Drosophila melanogaster: one gene and its partners. The protein of the gene in region 1 interacts with the protein of each later gene in a pairwise test. Each region holds a gene or a part of one and is shown on either strand. Other genes may lie near its edges. The genes, in order: Cpr97Eb, Cpr56F, CkIIalpha-i3 and CG5674.

Evidence for each region.
Region 2: the proteins of Cpr97Eb (region 1) and Cpr56F interact in a two-hybrid assay, tested with the Drosophila melanogaster proteins (one large-scale study listed by BioGRID).
Region 3: the proteins of Cpr97Eb (region 1) and CkIIalpha-i3 interact in a two-hybrid assay, tested with the Drosophila melanogaster proteins (one large-scale study listed by BioGRID).
Region 4: the proteins of Cpr97Eb (region 1) and CG5674 interact in a two-hybrid assay, tested with the Drosophila melanogaster proteins (one large-scale study listed by BioGRID).

The regions. Positions count from the first base shown.
Region 1 is NT_033777.3:27,089,180-27,092,767, reverse strand, and holds Cpr97Eb (cuticular protein 97Eb), read left to right. Parts: upstream 1-1,637; 5' UTR 1,638-1,776; coding exon 1,777-1,788; intron 1,789-2,161; coding exon 2,162-2,857; 3' UTR 2,858-3,064; downstream 3,065-3,588.
Region 2 is NT_033778.4:20,287,840-20,293,929, forward strand, and holds Cpr56F (cuticular protein 56F), read right to left. Parts: upstream 4,107-6,090; 5' UTR 3,995-4,106; coding exon 3,989-3,994; intron 2,712-3,988; exon of another isoform or gene 2,594-2,711; coding exon of another isoform or gene 2,485-2,593; intron 2,391-2,484; coding exon of another isoform or gene 1,840-2,390; exon of another isoform or gene 1,706-1,839; intron 1,673-1,705; coding exon 1,025-1,672; 3' UTR 532-1,024; downstream 1-531. Other genes in the region: CG34199 (uncharacterized protein), read left to right, coding at 1-423; CkIIbeta2 (casein kinase II beta2 subunit), read left to right, coding at 1,840-2,390, 2,485-2,593.
Region 3 is NT_037436.4:708,053-712,090, reverse strand, and holds CkIIalpha-i3 (CKII-alpha subunit interactor-3), read left to right. Parts: upstream 1-1,729; 5' UTR 1,730-1,733; coding exon 1,734-1,781; exon of another isoform or gene 1,782-1,807; coding exon of another isoform or gene 1,808-1,843; coding exon 1,844-2,353; intron 2,354-2,477; coding exon 2,478-2,534; intron 2,535-2,596; coding exon 2,597-2,758; intron 2,759-2,807; coding exon 2,808-2,879; intron 2,880-2,936; coding exon 2,937-3,011; intron 3,012-3,067; coding exon 3,068-3,100; intron 3,101-3,162; coding exon 3,163-3,381; 3' UTR 3,382-3,490; downstream 3,491-4,038. Other genes in the region: CG13896 (uncharacterized protein), read left to right, coding at 334-346, 404-1,149.
Region 4 is NT_033779.5:17,961,756-17,966,378, forward strand, and holds the start of CG5674 (uncharacterized protein), read left to right. Parts: upstream 1-1,623; 5' UTR 1,624-1,790; coding exon 1,791-1,850; intron 1,851-2,388; coding exon of another isoform or gene 2,389-2,694; intron 2,695-2,753; coding exon of another isoform or gene 2,754-4,132; intron 4,133-4,193; coding exon of another isoform or gene 4,194-4,623. Other genes in the region: btv (beethoven), read right to left, coding at 980-1,261, 2,389-2,694, 2,754-4,132, 4,194-4,623.

The DNA of each region.
Region 1 (3,588 bases):
TTCGCTGGAGCCGAACTGGTTCTACAAGATCATTAAGATGCGACGACTGTAATGCTGACGGATTTATTTAGTTTAGTAGATCTCTCTTAAGAATATATATTCCAATTAATTATAGGCGACAATTCTAGCAAACTATCTTTGCATATATGCATACTCAAGTGAGGAAAAGAAGCCAAGCGAATGTATTTATCTGCATGCAACCATGACCAAGGTCTGCGGTTCTTGGGTTAACGAACTTGTGGTTTTGACATAAGTACCTACACAGAAAACAACTAATTATGAATTATGTATCATGGGAATTTTCTTATTTTAAATACGCATACATTTTTATTCTTTGCCACAGTGAGACCTGAAAATCTGTGGTTCTGCATTATTATTTGATGAATATGCTATATGACTTGTTATTTGGTGTATTTTGCACAGTGTAGAATGTGATTTCAGATAGATGAATGCAAATCCCCCGAAATAAATGGAATAAATTCAGTATTATAATGTAGGTTGACAACTGTGTTTGTTTTGAATGTGGCTTGGGGATTTTGGCAATTTATTTTATATAAATTGGATCCTACTTAACTGGTTGTTTGTGAAATAAAAAGAAAACATCATATAAACTAATTTAAATTCTAGAAATCTCCAGAGATCTAGTCAAACCATCACATTTTTTTCTGCCTATCTATGACGTAATTTCAGCAACCTGTTTCTTTAGCCAAAGCATTGACTAGGTCAGTATGCCAGCATATAAGTTTTTGTATTGCTTTCTTTTCCTAGCTTCAAGTGTGAGTTTTGACAGGCTAAGAGAAATGGCTAAATAAGCTGTCAAATTGCATGTTGTGGATGCAGATTGCCATTGGCCAGTGCACTTAACTGGGAGCAAGGTGTTTGGACAGGTATTTGCAATCGATTAGCAGGTGGGGGGGAATTGACTTGCATAATTGGAATGCTTAGCAAGTGCAACACTTCCGCACCTCGCAGTACTGGCATTTTATTCTTTTCTGGATTGTAGATTTCAGTGATGCCAAAGGTACTTTTTAATTGTGTCTATGAAATAAACTTTAAAGATAACTAACACCTGATAAATCGATGTGAATTGTAAAAGTTTTTAGATGGCACTTGAAAACTATTTTACATCGCACTTTGTACCTCAAACTAGAGTGTGCCAATATGAGTAGGATATGGAGTGTAAGTGTACCAAGTGTACCTAGTTCTCATCACTGTTGCTGCTCTGATCTCATTGCGTATGCGTGAGTGTTGCGGTCTGGAAGCATAAATTGCTGGCCAAGAATTCGAGTAGACGACATTAACAACCTGATTGGAAATTGCTGCGCGTCGGCTTGCTGCTGGTAAGTGAATTACCTGTAGAGGTGAGTGAGTGGGCATATCGATCGGACGTAAGTACAGCTGGCCGACGACCGCTTTCGATTTCTATGCTGCATTCCAAGCCAAGTCGAATCGGTTCTCGGATCGGATCGGGAGCTCGGGCCTCGGTTAACGTATTCGTTTTCGTTTTCTGATCGCAGCTGATCGCCAGATCCAGAGACTTCGGCTTGAAGCTTTAGTTTCTGCCATGGTTTTTTCCCCTCTTGGCCCGCTTTTGCGAAATGTTGACTGCGGTATAAAAAGCGTTGCACGCCCTGATTTTCTTTTGAGTTTGTCGTTTCGATTCGCAGAGTCTCGAGTGCAAGTGCAGAACACATTTTCCATTTTCGCAGTGCATAACTACTTTGGGAGATTGGTGAAAACGGTTCGACATTGACAATTGGTTCTAAGCTTGGCAGCATGTTGAAATTGGTAAGATTCAGCAAGGTGGTTTATAGTGTTACATCTCCAAAGCTCGATATTCATATCGGTATGCAAAAGGTGTTTTCAGAATATGCGCAGTGAATTTTTAGAATGCAATTTAGCCAACCGGTTTGATCAGATCGGTGTCTATGATAAAGAGTAACTTAATTGGTGGTTCATTACTCAGCCATGTCCTTGAGTGAATGTTTGTGAACTGATAATCAGAGCAGCTAATTAAGGTATTTAGCCAAAAGTAAGGCAATAAAGGCAAAGTTCATGTATAATTGCTGACTTTACAGATGGGTGTGACCGAAATGGTGATTTAATGATACAAACGATTTGAGTCACTTTTTCACTCAACTCTTTGTTTTTCAATTTGCAGACCTTGAGCTTGGGTCTTCTGCTTCTGGCGGCCCACAGTGCGTATGCGCAACACCAGGACTACACCACACCGGTGCCCATTCTCAAGCAGATCGACAAGCACAACGACGATGGTTCCTACACATATGGATACGAAGCGGCCGATAAGAGCTTCAAGATCGAAACCAAGTACGCGAATGGAGAGGTCTATGGAAAGTACGGTTATGTGGATGACCAGGGAAAAGTGCGGGAAATAGAGTATGGAGCCAGTAAGCGTGGCTTTGAGCCCGCTGGCAGTCACATCAATGTGCCACCACCTACGCTGACCAACAGCAATCCCTATCCATTGGGACCCAACGAATTGGACGATGGCCAGTATCGTGAGGACCCCTCGGTGTACTACAAGGACCAGAAGTTCAATCGCCCCCTTTCACCGGCCAGTAAATTCAGTCTGAACGATTTCGGCCGCGGCCAGCAGCAGGCGTATGCCCCGCCACCTCGGCAGCCCGCCCCACAAACGCCCTACTACAATCCCACACCCCAATACTACAATCCCCCGGCTCCGCAGCCCCGTTACTACCAGCCTCCGGCCCAGAACTACTATAATCCCCAGCAGCAACAGCCATACAGGGGGTTGCCGGAGCAACATCATCCCTCCCTGCGAAATCTCAACCTCTACACCGGTTCCTATAGCATCGACTATACGGGCCGGAAGTAGGAAGGAGGACCTTTTGATGGGGGGATCACCTCTGAGTTGGGCCAGAGAGTCAGGGACTGAAGTGTCCGAGGACAATGTCAACTTGTTACTGCCAAATAAATCAGTCACTCCGCACACCCCACACATGTATCTATTACTGTACCTGTTTATATATGTTCTTGAATGTGTGTAATAAATCGAGTTTTGAAACCTGAAGCGTTTACAGAGAAAACGAAAGTGTTCTGAAATCATTAAATGTTTTGGTAATTGCTATGAAAATCAAAGGCAATTAGGGTGTTAAAGACAACTAGTAAACATTCAATCAATTTACGCTACCCTTTTCGCTGTCATTTACTGCTAAGTAATTATTCTCAGTGCTCAGAAGTATTTGAAATATCTGCTTTGGCATTCAATTTAGCCAACTACCAGGTTCCGCTTCAATTAAGCCGCCCCACAGCAGAAATTGTAGCAAAATCCAGCCGATTGAAATAAAGGCAAAGAGCCCAGCAAGTGGCCAATAATCGTTAGGCCATTACGTCAACACAGAATGATCGAGCCAAAACAACAAAAAACTACAAAAAAAAGGCAAGCATTGTGGCCGATTCAGATTGAAAACCAAAGTGGATTTGCTGTTGACTGGAATTTGGTGCACTTATGCAATGTGCTGGCCCCAAACCACTTTCAAATGCACTGCCACCAACGGCCGACCAGTTGGCCATAAGCTGTTGGCCATAAGTATGGTCTATGGTCTA
Region 2 (6,090 bases), on another chromosome or scaffold:
AGTCAGGGAGTAGAAATCACAAAGGCACGAGTGGACCAGTTCGATCCAGTGGAAAAGCCCCAGCCAAATTATTTGCCTCCAAATCAACTGGATATACCCGAGGAAGAGATTTTGCCCACCTCACGACCGTCCAACAAGTACGGTCCGGCAGATCCGAAATTTAAAATCATTTATCCTGATGATGAGGAGCCAGTTACTGCAAAAAATATCGTAGACAATCAGCAGCCCAAAATCAGAGAGGGACGTTACTTCGTCATTTCGCAGGACAATAAACTACAAAGAGTTTCTTTCAGCTCCCAGCAAAACGCAGATGCAGATGCAGATGATTTTACGGCTCAGTTGACTTACTCCACTGTGGGGCAACTCAAGGATCCTGTGTATCGATACAACAGACAGGGACAACTGGAGCGGGTCCTGAAGTAGGCAATTTGGATATAGCTATTTGAATATGTAAAATAGAGTTGTGCAATGTATTCAATTCTCAGAATGAATTATCTTGTTAATTATAAAAACAGTTTGGTTTTTCTTTTTGACTTTGTTTTATACAAAAATGCTTCTTTATTCATTTAATAATTATTAAATATACACAAAAATCTCATAAGTTCGTTTCACTTTCGAATTTCCATTTTCGTTTAAAAACTAAATACAATCCTTATGCATGTATGTATGAATGCGTAATGGTCATGTTGTGGGTGAATGGTGTGTTGGAGTGTGTGCGTAGACTAACACAAAATGAAGGCGCTTAAACAAAACAAAACGGCAAGGAGTTCCAGGTGTAGAGACGGAAAACAGGATAACGAACAGCAGTGAAACGGAAACGGAAAGGAACGCGCCTGTCTATGGCAAAATGGCGGGCGTCCCACTAAGGGTATGCACAGAGATGGGAATAGGGTTATATGGATAGACTGACTGCGATCGCTGGCCCACTGGCTGGATGTGCGTTTAATACTCGGCCAGCGATCCCATGAAGTAGACGAGTATAGTTGCGGGGTCGACCTAAATCGGGTATCCTCACTTCCCCATCTTAGTAGCCGTTGAATTTGCCCTGCTGCGCGTTGCTATCATAACCGCCACCGTTGCGACCATTGCCATTGCCGTTTCCGTTGCCATTGCCGACCTGCTCGTACCGAATGGTTGGGCGGTATCCATTCTGGTCGGCCTCGTACTCAACAATCTGTTTGCGTCCATCGGGCAGCAGGACGTAGTAGCGGCCCACAGCAAGATCACCATCGCGGGACTCCATGTGGCCGAAGTCATTGCCCGACTCGTAGTCCTGTACGTCGTACTTGAACTCGTACTTGGCCGGTCCATACTGCTCCTCATCCCGTTGTCCGTAGCCGTTGCCGTTGCCATTACCGCCGCCATAGCCGCCGTTTCCGTTTCCGTTTCCGCCCTTGAAGATGGCACCAGTCAGCGCTGGAGCACCATATTGACCCTGGGGAGGAGCGATGGGGGCGCCATAGCTGTTGCTGGGCGCTCCTCCATTGCCACCGGCCCGCTGGGGTGGCAAGTAGTTGCTCGACGGCGACTGGTAGCCCTGCGTGGGCGGCAGGTAGTTGTTGGACGGCGCCTGAGGCGACTGATTGGGGGGCAGGTACTGGTTCTGGGGAACTGGTGGTTCCGCATGGGTCCAGGCAGCCAGGCACACGAGCAGGGCAATGGATGTAAAAGCCTGGGAATGAAAATTCAGGGTTGCATTTACATTACAGTTTTCGTTTTGAGTTGACAACCCTTGATTGAACACTCCGTCCCTGACAGCTGTCATTCGAAATTAAATAAGTCCTATTGTTAAGCTCTCGTGATTTTGACTGATTAAATTAAAGCTTAAAAGAAGCAGCTATGACCGATTCGGACGAATCTTCCTGGATTCATTGGTTTTGCAAGCAGCGTGGCAACGAATTCTTTTGCGAGGTGGATGAGGAATATATCCAGGACAAGTTTAACCTTAACTTTCTTGATTCGAACGTTAAGAACTACAAATGTGCCTTGGAGGTGATCCTGGATCTTAATCCGGGTTCAGCTTCGGAAGACCCCGCTGAACCAGAACTGGAGGCTAGTGCAGAGAAACTGTATGGCTTGATCCATGCTCGCTTTATCCTAACCAACAGGGGCATCGAACTGATGTTGGACAAGTACAACAAGGGCGAATTCGGCACATGTCCACGTGCATTCTGCCATAGCCAGCCGGTGCTGCCCATTGGTTTGAGTGATAATCCTGGCGAGGATATGGTACGCATCTATTGCCCCAAGTGCAATGATGTGTACATTCCCAAGGCGTCGAGACATTCGAATCTGGATGGAGCCTTCTTTGGCACTGGATTCCCTCATATGTTCTTTATGGAGAAACCGGATGCTAGGCCCAAGCGGGCAAAGCAGAAGTTTGTGCCCAGGTTAGATCTTCCGTTTCCTGTGTTTCCTTCTATTTCCCTATGTTTTTAAGGTAGTTACTAATAATGTATAACTAATGTAACTATGTTTTCCCAGGCTTTATGGCTTTAAAATCCACCCCACGGCCTACCGTACTGCCGCTGAGATCCAAAAAGATGTGACAATGACGCCAGTAGGAGAAATCGATAGCCCATCCCACATTTGATCCTAAAGCTAAAATTTCTCATAAGCAACTGTCGCGTACTTCTCGAATAAGTGGGCACTGTTCGCCCGGCTGGCTGCCAGCTCATTAAACTCTCATAACAATAACTGCTCAGGCTGTGACCCGCTTGACAATCTTTTGTTTGGATTTGATGGCCTGCGAGCAGGCCCAGAATTGGCTTTGTCTTTCCCATCTTTACAGCATTTAGCTGAGGCATATGCAAATCTGTAGTAATTGGGTCCCAGGTGAAGCTCCCATCGGATTGGATTGGATTTAGCTGGGCTGCAAGTGAAGGGCTAATCTCGTGATCTTGCGCAATGCGTCTGAATCTTAAGTATTCGCCGTGTGGCGCGGACAACCTGTGGGAGAACCACTTCGGCTCACTCTTACACAACTTATTTCCGAATCTTGTGCAAAAGATCTTCTGGCCGAGTGTTTAGGCACAGGGCCGTCAATGACTTTCATGCTTCATTGGCGTTAAAATGCTATGCTTTTTGGCTGCGCTTTTGTCTGTATTTTTTTTTTATCGCCGCCTGGTCATCTCCAGACTGCCTTACTTGGGCATGTCCAGTAGTTCTTCTTCCGCCACTTAAAGTTTCTCTAATTTATTCATTGCAAAATGACCCCAAGCAGCGGCAGCTGTTGTTGCTTCTGTTTGTTACCCACACCCTAGAAATGAACTGGGATCGCTGGTTGCAATTGTTTCCCAGGCGAATGATATCGGTGTTCTAATTCCGCAACCTACCATAAAAAACAGTAGCTATCCTAAACAAATTGATGGTAATCTTAACTGCGATGATGATGGCAACTTATGAAATTTATTATGCGGATCTCCGCTTGATTAATCACCCAGCTGAACTTGACTTTTAATATGGCTCAAATATTAATATTTCATGTCTTTTCCTTCCGATTAGCTGATTAAGTGCTATGTGAGACAATGAAAGCTTCATTAGTTTGATGAGTTGTTTAATTGATTGATCGATCTATTGCCAAAAACGATTTTAAATGAGGGCTATTGATTGGATACAGAAAAATGAATACAAAATTCGAACATATTTTAGCACCTTTGCAATGCAGAAAAAGATATGGGCAAATATTGTGATGTTTATTTGATCATTCTAAGATTTTGTAACCCAACGTTGTTTGTATGTTAGCTACAGCAAACTTCAATATCCTTTGAAAATTTAACAAAAGGTCGAAACTGTATCTAATAAAGGACCTATATTGAATGATCTTTATAGCTATTCAAGTTTTATATCCTTTAGTCATATCGTTTCCCGAATGCCGAATGAGGCATTGTATTTCGTTTTGGCTGCCCATATCCTTTTGTGAGGACTTTTTTTTTTCACACAGCACACCACTTGGCACTTGACTCGAAAGTTCTATTCGGCTATATACCTTCATTTTGTGTTGTCACTTGTTTGGGATTTTGGCACACACGAAAACGGTTTTTGTTAACTTTGCTCTGTTGGCTGTGTTCTTCTTGCGAAGATGGTTGACTTGATTGTGATACTGAAACAATTTCGTAGGCCAGTATTTATATTTGAAATGAGCAGCAGCTAACGCGGCGGCGTCGACGTCGGCTTCAAAAAATTGCGCGCCAAAATGTGTGTGTTTTTTGTTCAGCTTAGTTCGTTATTTCAATTTTCGGTTAGTCGAGAAAAAAATGAGTGCCACAGTGCCGAACGAGCACTTGAAAAACATTACAAAATAATGCAAAGCACACGGAGCTGAGGAAGAGCAAATCGCTCTCGGTGGTGCTGCCGAGAAAAGAGGGAAATCGCTTGAGGTGGATTTGTTATAGTAAACTAGTTACTTTGGAAATTAAAGCGCCAAACATTTTGACGATGCTGACTTCGTATCTGCGGTCGGGTTCGGCAAATGAGCGAAGATGAGTGCCAAACATTCAAACAAATGAGACGAGGGAGTACCGCGCTCCTGCGGCTGCAGGCCATAAACATTTGTTGCCGCTCGTGTAATAGCAGAAACACTTATTTGTAATGGAATTAGTCATGCAGCAGGCAGCGGGCAGCGACGTCGACGGTAGCGTCCAAAAGCCAAGTGAGCGGAGGCAGCTGCTCCACGCATCTTCATCTCGCATCGGAGGCTTCAGCTTCAGTCGTGCGGCAGCTTCAGCGGCGGCCGCCTCGAAAGGCGAAGCAGAAACAAAAGACTCAGGCAACGAACTTGCTGCAGGCAATGCTGCTGCAAATTGTTTCCCCTTAGTGCGTGGGAGTTTTCGCTGGGTTTTGCTCGGTTTTGTTTTTCAGCACAACTAATGAGCTGGATTATGCCCCCGACTTCACAAATGTGTCCGTTTGGATTGGCGTTGACATGGATTCAAGTCGGATAAGCTGCAATTGAGCTGTGAGCACAGCGAGGGAAAAAGAGTTTTAAGATACGTTATCTTCCTTGCTGGGAAAGATACGCTCTGGTGTCGAAAATGTTGATTGTTATTAAACTGAGCATTAGTAACGGCTTGTAGTTGCTTTGCGAATCAAAATTACCTAAAGATCTCTTCAACATTCATTTATGGGTGAAACATTGCTCCAATTTAAATGAGATCAATTTATTTATATATTTACTTTATAAACAAATAATTTGTAGAGAGAAATAAGTTTTAAAATAAACACATATTTAAAAAAAATAACATAATTTTTTTTTCTATTTGTCCATTTCCTGCAAAACGTATTGAAATGTGTATGCTCAATAGTTTTGGATACTTATTTATCCCATTAAAAAGTCGATTGCATAACAAAGGAAACTTGAACTCTTTAAAAATACTCGAACACAATACTTGACAATAGGGAAAAGTAATTCAATATTTTTATTGCCATATTCCATGTTCATTTAAACAGTGGGCGTAGCATCCATCACGATCTGCAAATATTTCTTTGGTCAATTGTCTTTTGGCTCATTGGTCGAATGCGTAGCAAATTAAAATTTTTATCATTTTGTTATAACGGACCCTGCTTATTTTGCGATTTGGCACGAGCTGACTTTCACATTCGATAATGCCAAGTTTATGAGTTGTAAATTTAAAGGCCGTGCGAAGCCACGCCCCAAATGAGCTGGAAATTAATGAGGTATTGAAGGGATTGAAGGGATGGGGTGGGATGGAATTGCTTCCTCGCTGCGTATTCCCCCAAGTGATTTTCTGCAAGTAATACTCGACCTTGCCACAGACCACAATAAAAATAAATTAGAGAATATACAGCCAAGCTTTTGTAATTACCAAGATCATTTGGAGTTATGTGTGCAAATATGCGAATGCGAAAAATTCAAATAAACAAACAGAAATTATAGCAGAGCAGTTAAGACTTGACTTCATAATGGCTAATATGAATCTTGAAATGTAAGCAAAACAATTAAATAAATAAACCTTCGTATGCCGCATTCCTTGTCTCGGAAACCAAAACTGAAATTCATTTTCAATAGCACTCCATGAACGACTTCAAATCTGTTTTCGGTTTTCAGTTTTCAGCTTCAGTCTTCTGCTT
Region 3 (4,038 bases), on another chromosome or scaffold:
ACCTGCGGCAAGTACTCACTAAATCCTTACTGCGAGATTTTTAAATTCAAAAACTACATAATGGCAATTAAATGAGGCTAAGATGAGTATTTATATAAAATAAATGTTCTCTTCGGTAGCGAGTATTGATATAGATTAGGCAAAAAATCCATTTTCAAAAAACGAAAGCCTATTCCCATCTTTGTTTCGTGCAACCTTTTCGATAGTTATCGATAGAGAAAAATCGAAACACATATGTTTGGATCATGATACCTTTCTCTTACGCCGTCCGAAAGAACTGGCAGCCTGGGAAACAAAACTTATTCGTCATCAACTGAATAGCTATTGTAAACAATGGATACAAAGTGTGAGTAAAAAACATAAATTCAAGAAGAAAACTATATATATACTCACAATAAGCCAGCTTACGAAAGGAAGTGGTGTACATCCAACACCCGACTTTTATTGTCCCTTTACAATGAACGCCAAGCTGATTTTCGGGATCCGAAAAAAAAGATCAAGGACATTTGGGGGGAAATGGTCGTTGCCCTTGAAAGCCAGGGAATGACAGATATCGATGCAGTTCAGCTGGATCGAAAATTTAGGAACCTGAAGAAGACCTACTATAGCATAAGGAGCAAGCTCCTGGCGAAGGTACCGCATTTCCATCCAAACTGGCAGTTCTACGACGAGATGTCCGAAATTCTAAAGGATGACCCTGTCCCACCGCCGCAGGAACTTTCCATCAATGATTTCGATGAAGCGGTGGTCAGTTTGGAGACCGGTATCCAGAAAGGCAGGATGCTGTCTATGGGCACCACTGTCAGCACAGTTATTCCCCGCCAAATGCGTACGTATCGCAAACGAAAGCAGCCATTGGATGATGTCGATATCAAGATCCAGAAGGACTACGAAGTGCAAACGGATCGGCAGCGGGATGGGGAACAGTTTACAGTCTTTAATGCCGCCGAACCCAATACTAATGATTTGTCAGAGTCTGCGGCCGAGATCTCCATCAGCAACGACGAAGAGGCATTGAGACACCTAAGAGCGCTCCAGGAGTACGCCATGATCCATGATAATTTCAGGGCCATAGGACTGCTAATACAGGTGGAGCACGCCATTCAATATCCAGCCCAGATCAAGGACTTCGAGGTGGATCAAACGTAGTGTCCTTATAAACAAGCACGTAATCTACTGGAAAAGCAAAGATAAGATAAGGCACATACCTAATTTATACCTCTATATTTAAGATTTTAATATTTTATAATATATATACTTTAATTTACTTTATTTAAATATGGTTCATGCACTTGCTAACACCACTGAAAAATGAATCTGGTTCTAAACAAATCTGGCTTGGGTATTGGCTAAAATATTGCGCTGTGGCAATACCGTTTTCTAAAACCTATAGTTACAACAATCTAAAGGAATTTCACAAGAAAAACCAACATTTCTGAAATCTTATTAGTATTTTGAAGAGTAACAAAGTGAATCCTGCCGAGATCAACGCCGATCTGTAAGCAAGTTCGTCTTGGAAATTGACAAAAACCGAAAAATCTGGCAGCACCAATATGACACTAAAGGTTCAAGAAAAGACCTTCGGTTGCACAAAATAGAAAATTCAAACATAATTGAAAAGAATTAACTAGTATCGTGAAAACATGTAATACAGTTAATAAAAAGTTATAGTATTATGCAATATTGATCAAATGAAGCAAACTTTATCGATAACTTCGAAATTGCAACCCTAAATGCATCGGATGGGCAATACCAATCTGAAGTCTACAAAAAAGCATATTGTGGAAGTCTAAGTTTTGTTAAATTTATGGAAAAGGAATCCAATTTATCGGACAACTTGCAGTCCCGGTTATTTGCACTGGGTCCTGCCCCGCCAGGATTTCGTCCACCGGATGCTACCGCCTTTGCCACAGCGGAGTCAAATCTTCGTAATGCCATCCGCTACCTTAATGATACCTATGGCGAGCTCGATCAGCTGCGCACTGTCATCCAGAAGGAGAAGAATAACTCGAAGCGTACGTCCTACAAGGCGCAGTCCATGATGCTTGCCATGCAAGTGATACGTTTCAAAGGACTTATTGGGAAGTACAGGGACATTCTGATTGGCCTGCAGGATGCCGAAATCATCAAGGTCAAACAATACATAGAGCAAATGGTGGAGATGAGGAACAAAATCCAGGCAAAGACCGATCCCACACAGCGCGAGTTCCAAGTGGGCAGCTCAATCTCACTGGTGCAGGAACAGCGCAAGACCAAGAGAATCTGCCGCAGGTGGCGGGATCGCCTGGTCCAGCTGACGGAGGCCAAGATGGACAAAACTGAGCAACTTACTGAGAAACCAAAGCTGATCAATGTAAGAACCGTTACAAAAGAACTTATACATATTTTCATTGCGCTTCCAATATCCATCCATGTTTTCATGAAAACTCTCATCGAATTCTGATCGAATTTCGACTGAACTCGATATGCTTTTTTAGAAACCTAGAAATATGTTAAATGCAAAAACCAACAAGTGGAAGGAAGCTGTAAGCTTGGTGAGTATAGCCAAACATATAAAGGATAAGTTAAATGCTAGTAAATATAAAACTAATCCTAGCAACAAAGCGGTCTAATTAAAAGTGGCTGTAAGAGGTGTGAATACCTAAGAAAGCTGACTAAGAATCGTCCATCCAAACTTTGTAAGGTGTGTAAAAAATGGTCTGATGATGAAAAAGCAAAAGCGGCAGGAAATAAGAAAGCCAACAAAACGCCAATAATGGTATGACACTATTGAAAAGTCGCAACATAAATTAATACTATTATTGCAGGCGAAGTCGAAAAAATTAGAAGTACGCGTGCGTACGGATTCTGAAGAAGCTATAATTAAAATAGAGATAGAGGTGGGTGTGTACAAGTAGATCAACAGTAACATTAGCACTTATTATTAATTTTCTTAGCATGGTGAATTTACCGATGAAGAGGAAATTGGGTCATTGGAAAAGGAAACGACCTTAAAAGATGAGATCAAGGAGGTTAGTTGTTTCTTCAACCTGAAAAATGTGTTTAATTTTGGAATGTTTTTTTTTAGACTGTTGAATCTCACGACACGGCAGCAGTTGAGGTAAGTAAACAGGTCCTTGGACTGTAATAGAACTAACGTAACGATAAATGACTCAATGACAGGAGGAAAATGAGACCAGTCAAGACGATGTGGACCCCAAAGTAGTCGCTTCCTTACAAAATTCACTGAAATCCATCGACTGTAAAAATATGGCCTTGGCCTACGTGAAGGTCTTACAGGAGTACGCCATGTTAAATGATAACTATCGGGCCATTGGACTACTTACTGAAGTTGAAAAATCAGTTTTAAATCCGCCTCAGAACGAGGATTTCGATCTATGATCTTATTGACGCCACAAAAATAAAGTTTAGTTTTTATATGTAATCTACAATTAAAATGTTCGTGTGTCCTGCCTTTGAGAGTCAAGACCCAAAATGTGTAAATAATTGTAATATGCGAAAAGAGTTTATAGAGTGGAATAACCAACAGGGTCCCACTTAAATGTGGTAAACGTTAAATTAAGCACTAGATATAATTTGAGCAAAAATAGCTTTATATATATGTATGTGTACATATCAAACCAGTTTCAGCTCAGATTAGGTGGTAATGCGATTTGTGTTTTTCGGCATGTTAAACCAGTTATAGCTGCTTTAGCGAGAGAATATTTACTCTCGATCCGAAAATAAATCCCATACCGCGAACGAATACCACCACGATCGGAATCGGAACGTGGGAAGTCGGTTTAGATCGCGAGAGAAAGAGCGGAATGTCTCTCGCAAAGATACGGTTTTTGCCGCTCCGCCAAACGGAGGAGAGTCCAGATCTCTGCAATGTTCGGACCGCATGCTCAGTCATTGAGTTGCACTCGCTCTGGCAACTTTAAACACGTGCGACCGCACATATTTTCTGTTTAATGTGCCTAAAAAACTGCTGTATATTTTCAACAAAGTGTACTTTATGCTCTAAGCTTTCCGACTGAGGTATGTAAACAAGATTTC
Region 4 (4,623 bases), on another chromosome or scaffold:
AATGCATAAGAAGGAGGTCTTTAAACTGTTCTTCCTTGTAGCTAATTGGATTTGAAGTTCGGAGCGGAGTTTATGTATCTTTTGATATACACATTCACTTTATATCCTTACTCAATTACCTTTTCAGCCTTATCGCGCTGCCTAATTCCTTAATCCGCAACTAAATTTCCATTTGAAGCGTAATAAATTATTTATTCTCAATAGCCGACAGCACAACAAGTTGGGAAAGGCGTACAACAAAATCTGAGAAGTCTGCATAGCTAAATTTGCAAAATGTGTTAACAAACTGCCACGCCCACCGATACGAGGCACTGTGATTTGTGCGGAGGGCAATTTATATGCCACAGAAGCCGGCTGCCACGCCCCCTTCTCGGTACCGGGAGGCACTTTACACTCAAATTGTGTTAATTTGCATATTGGAAACTTTTGCCTAATTGAACATAATGCCACTTAATTAAAGTTAAGACAAGTTTTTGACGGTAAAATGGTTTTGGGCCTGGGGGATGTCGGGGATGTCTTGGCAACTAAAAGTATGCCCGACATTTATGGCAGTTTGTTGTTGAAATTTACGGCAATTAGTTTAATATGAGCAGATTATGAGGGACACAGGACGCAATAAAATCCCTTCGGCGGTGGCAAATTAATTTTTAGGGGCATCCCCGAATAAACACAGACACTGAGACATATGGAAATCAATTAGCTCTTCAGAGTCTAAGTCCTCGCCTTAAATGTTTAATGGCCCATTTTTATGTTTGCCTTTGGCTGCCTAATTGTTAGTTGTTTAAATATTTACTTAGAATTAGTTGGGACCCAAATGACAGCGTGTCAAGGGTAGGAAACTAATGTTAAAAGAGTTTCGTTTGGTTTTTATTTAATATTTGCGAAGGTGAATTGCTATTCAAGTGTCAGTCCAACACATTCTTCGCTTCTCTACATATATATTTGAAATATATTGGTATAAAATAATATTGAGTGGTGTTTAATAATCTTCGACTATTAGCGCTGTTCCGGCCAAGAGAATTTGTTCCGCAGTTCCGGTCACAATATCAACATTTAGGTGGCAAATCAATTTGTCGCGACTGCTCCGAGAATATAATGGGAGTTTGGGCTTCGATTCAGCATTTTGCGTGGAATATAGCGAATTTTTGCCGTATTTTGAGGAACTAGTAGTCGTATGACTGACATTTTGTACTTCGTCTTTTATTTTGTACTTGATGTAGAAGGGGTTCGATTTTCCCATTCCACTCTGGGCGCCATCAATCTGTAATGGAAAATGAATAGTGCCAAGTTTAGTTACTAATGAAATACTTAGATATATTCCACATTACATATATTCACAATTGCTAAAAACAAAAAAAAAGGCGAAAAGCGGGTAGATGATTTGCAAAGTTTATTCTCCAAGTCCTAAAATGTATATACAAAAAAATAGTTATTTGTTTTTTTACAGTGTTAGTTCTAGCAGGTACACCCATCAGGGCATAGCGGATGCACTCCCCATAGTCAGCTTCCAAACCGATTATCGATTGGCATCGAATACGTAGATATACAAACGAGAAGGGAAAGTAAAATGTAAGTTTGTGCTCAGAACTGCTTATCGATAGGCATCGGACAAGGTGCCATCTCTAATTCCCCCTCTTGTACCGGAATGTCAATCAAATGAAAACAAAAAAAGCGGCGTGAGAAAACTGAAAAGAACGGGCATCCAGTGCACATTTCAAGCTTAATTTCGATGCATTGAACGGCGGCGGCGCACCGAAAACAGGAGGCGCAGGATTACGGATACGGAAGCTATGGAAACGGCCAGAATGGAGACGGCGATGGAGACACATTTTATGGCCAAAATGGGGAAGGTGAGGAACAAAGACAAGAAGCAAACGGGCAAGAGGGAGAGAAGATGTCATCAGTCTTCGTCCCAAAAGATAAATAAGTATCTTTTGGGATTTTGGATTGGGGGAATCAATTTGGACTATGGATGTATGCATATCTACTATCCAGGTAATCCGTAACAGAGTATTGTTACTGTTACTACTACTACGTGTGCATCCAATTGTATCTGATATAGCAACCTGGCAAAATGTATCCCAAAATTATTTCTCAATGTTTATTGTATTTACTGTAACGCTTCTCGAGGGCTTATGATATTTAATGGTTATCCCCAACTTAACCAATGCGCCATCTACCGCGAATATTATAGTTATGGCAATTTCTTGGCTGATTATCCTGCGATTAGTTAAATTTCCTTTTATGGCTTCGAAATATATTCTTAGTCGCTAAAGAAGAAGACATAGAAGACATAACCCCTTGAATCATGAGTAAGTGGCTTGCTGAATTTGATTTCACAACTTGATGTCAAAACATTATCGGTTAAAGATACTAATTCTTACTCACCTTTAGCGGCGCCAGCTTGAGTATTATGTCCGAAGAATCACTTTCCAAGTTTGAGGAGCCGCAAGTTTGCAACTCCAGGCGTTCGGTGGAAACTGCCAGTTTTCGAGACTGCAGCAGCTTTAAACAGGACAACAGGTTCTCACAGTTAAACACCTGGACGAAATTGATATCCTCTACAAAATCCAGATGCATTTGCTCCCGGAATCGAAGTTCGGCAGCCTGGGCTCGAACGATTAGGGCTCTTAAAAAGTCCACGGCACTGTTGCTGCCAGGTCCAGGCCATAGTTTAAGCCAACTGGCAGGAATCTATGAATTTCAGTTTATTATGCATTTTCAAGTTACGTTACTGTACCCCAGTTTCTTACCTGCTGTTCTGCCAGAGTTCTCAGAGTGCTGCCATCCACCTCCTGCGACTCCTTAAGCCAGGCATGCATCTGCGACAAAGTCTGGTGAACTATGCCGTAGAGATCCGCCCCTAGTTTCAGTTCAGCCAGCACAAAAAGTGCCCAGGGAGATTCACCCACATCAGTTTTTGCCTCCTTCATAGTCTGGATTATGGTACACGAAGCCGCCAACTTTCTCCATAGATTCAGTAGGGGTTTAATTTGCTGTTCCAGCTTCTGACGACCAGTGAGCTGATCGTTTCCCTTAGACTCTCCTGCTCCTCCAGAATCCTTAGCCAAGCCTCTTCCGTAATGCAATCCCCTGAGTTCCTTTATCACTCTTTTGGCCTGTTCAATTTCGCGTTGCTGTTGTGCCTGATTGGCCAAACCATACATACTGGGCTCATCTGTGTCAGGAAGTTTCTCCAATGCAGCGTAGTAGTCCTGCAGTTGACCGCTAGTTGGTATGGATAGAGATAATCCAAGAGGTGACCAACGATTGCTTAAGACGTCCGCTGAACAAAACTGGTTCAGATAGGTTGTGAGTATCTCCAGATCCCTCTGATTATTTACTCTTCCGCCATAAGCGAGGGCTTCACTGAGACGTTGCATCAGCAACCAATCGCATTTTCCTGAATTAAGTTGCTGATCCATCATTCTTAGGATACCCAGAGCCGCTTTTAGATCTGCCTCACCGAATTCATAGTATTTTGACCAACCTTGTGGTATAAACTGTCGCCTTTGTTGAAGCACAGCTGTTAGGACAAAATAAACCAGTCTCATCTTGAGGCTCTTTGGTTGGTTTTTAAGCTTTTGATCCTGTTCAGCAGCGAAGTTCTGGAGCAAACGCATCACAATCTGCTTTAGTCCCTTAGGCTGCTCATAACGTACTTTAAGGCATTTATAAATGGCAGCTTCGGAAAATCCCTCGGTTGATTCGCACAATAGCCACAATCGAAAGTCTTTCGATTTTTGAATTTCACTTAATTCCCTTTCCATTTGAGTTAGAAATTCCGGCACCAAATGGACATTCTTAACGCATAACCAGTGGCCATCTATGGCAGCCTGACGCATTTCGGAGAGAACTCTTTTCTCAACACCTTTTCCAATAGCCATTTCTCTATACTTTTGATTGGCCCACTTTCTCAATTCAGTTGTTGGATCATTTTCCGCATGACTAACCATCAAAATCGGGCGATCACAGCTGCTCTGCTGCAGCAACTGCTCCACAGAAGGTTGGGTGGAGGCATCTGGGGAAATTCCCAGCAGATCGCTACTCACTTTTCGCAGTTGGTGAAGCATCAAGTCGGGTCGGAAAATCTGAGCAATAAGCACACGCTGGAAGCTGGACCCCAACGCAGCTGTAAGTTCGAAAATAAATCTGAATAAGATGAAATTAACTAAATTATTTCTACAACTTACGTAGCACATCATCCGCTTGAGCCTCAATGAATCCGCGCCAGATATAGTCCTTCTCCAACTGGAGCTTGCTTCGCAAATCTGGGAACAATTGGAGTAACATAGCCAGCTTTAATTGCGCTTCCTTGGGCATGCAGTCGGGCAGTTTTCCAAGCTGACTTAGCACCATACTGCCATCAGAACTACCCATGAAATTGTTCACAAACAGCTCCCACTCCTTGGGGTTTAATCTATCGGGATATGCCTGATGACAAACCCACAAGGATAAGGATAGCTGGCTATCTCTAGAAGTAGCTCTAGCTAAATTCATATAAACACTTCGTACAAGACAATCATAGACCTTGGACTCATCTCGTTGACTTTTGGAAAGAGCCCCCAAAAATAGTTCAATGTAAACAAGAGGGGATAATTCATAGCCCTGGATGAGGCCTGC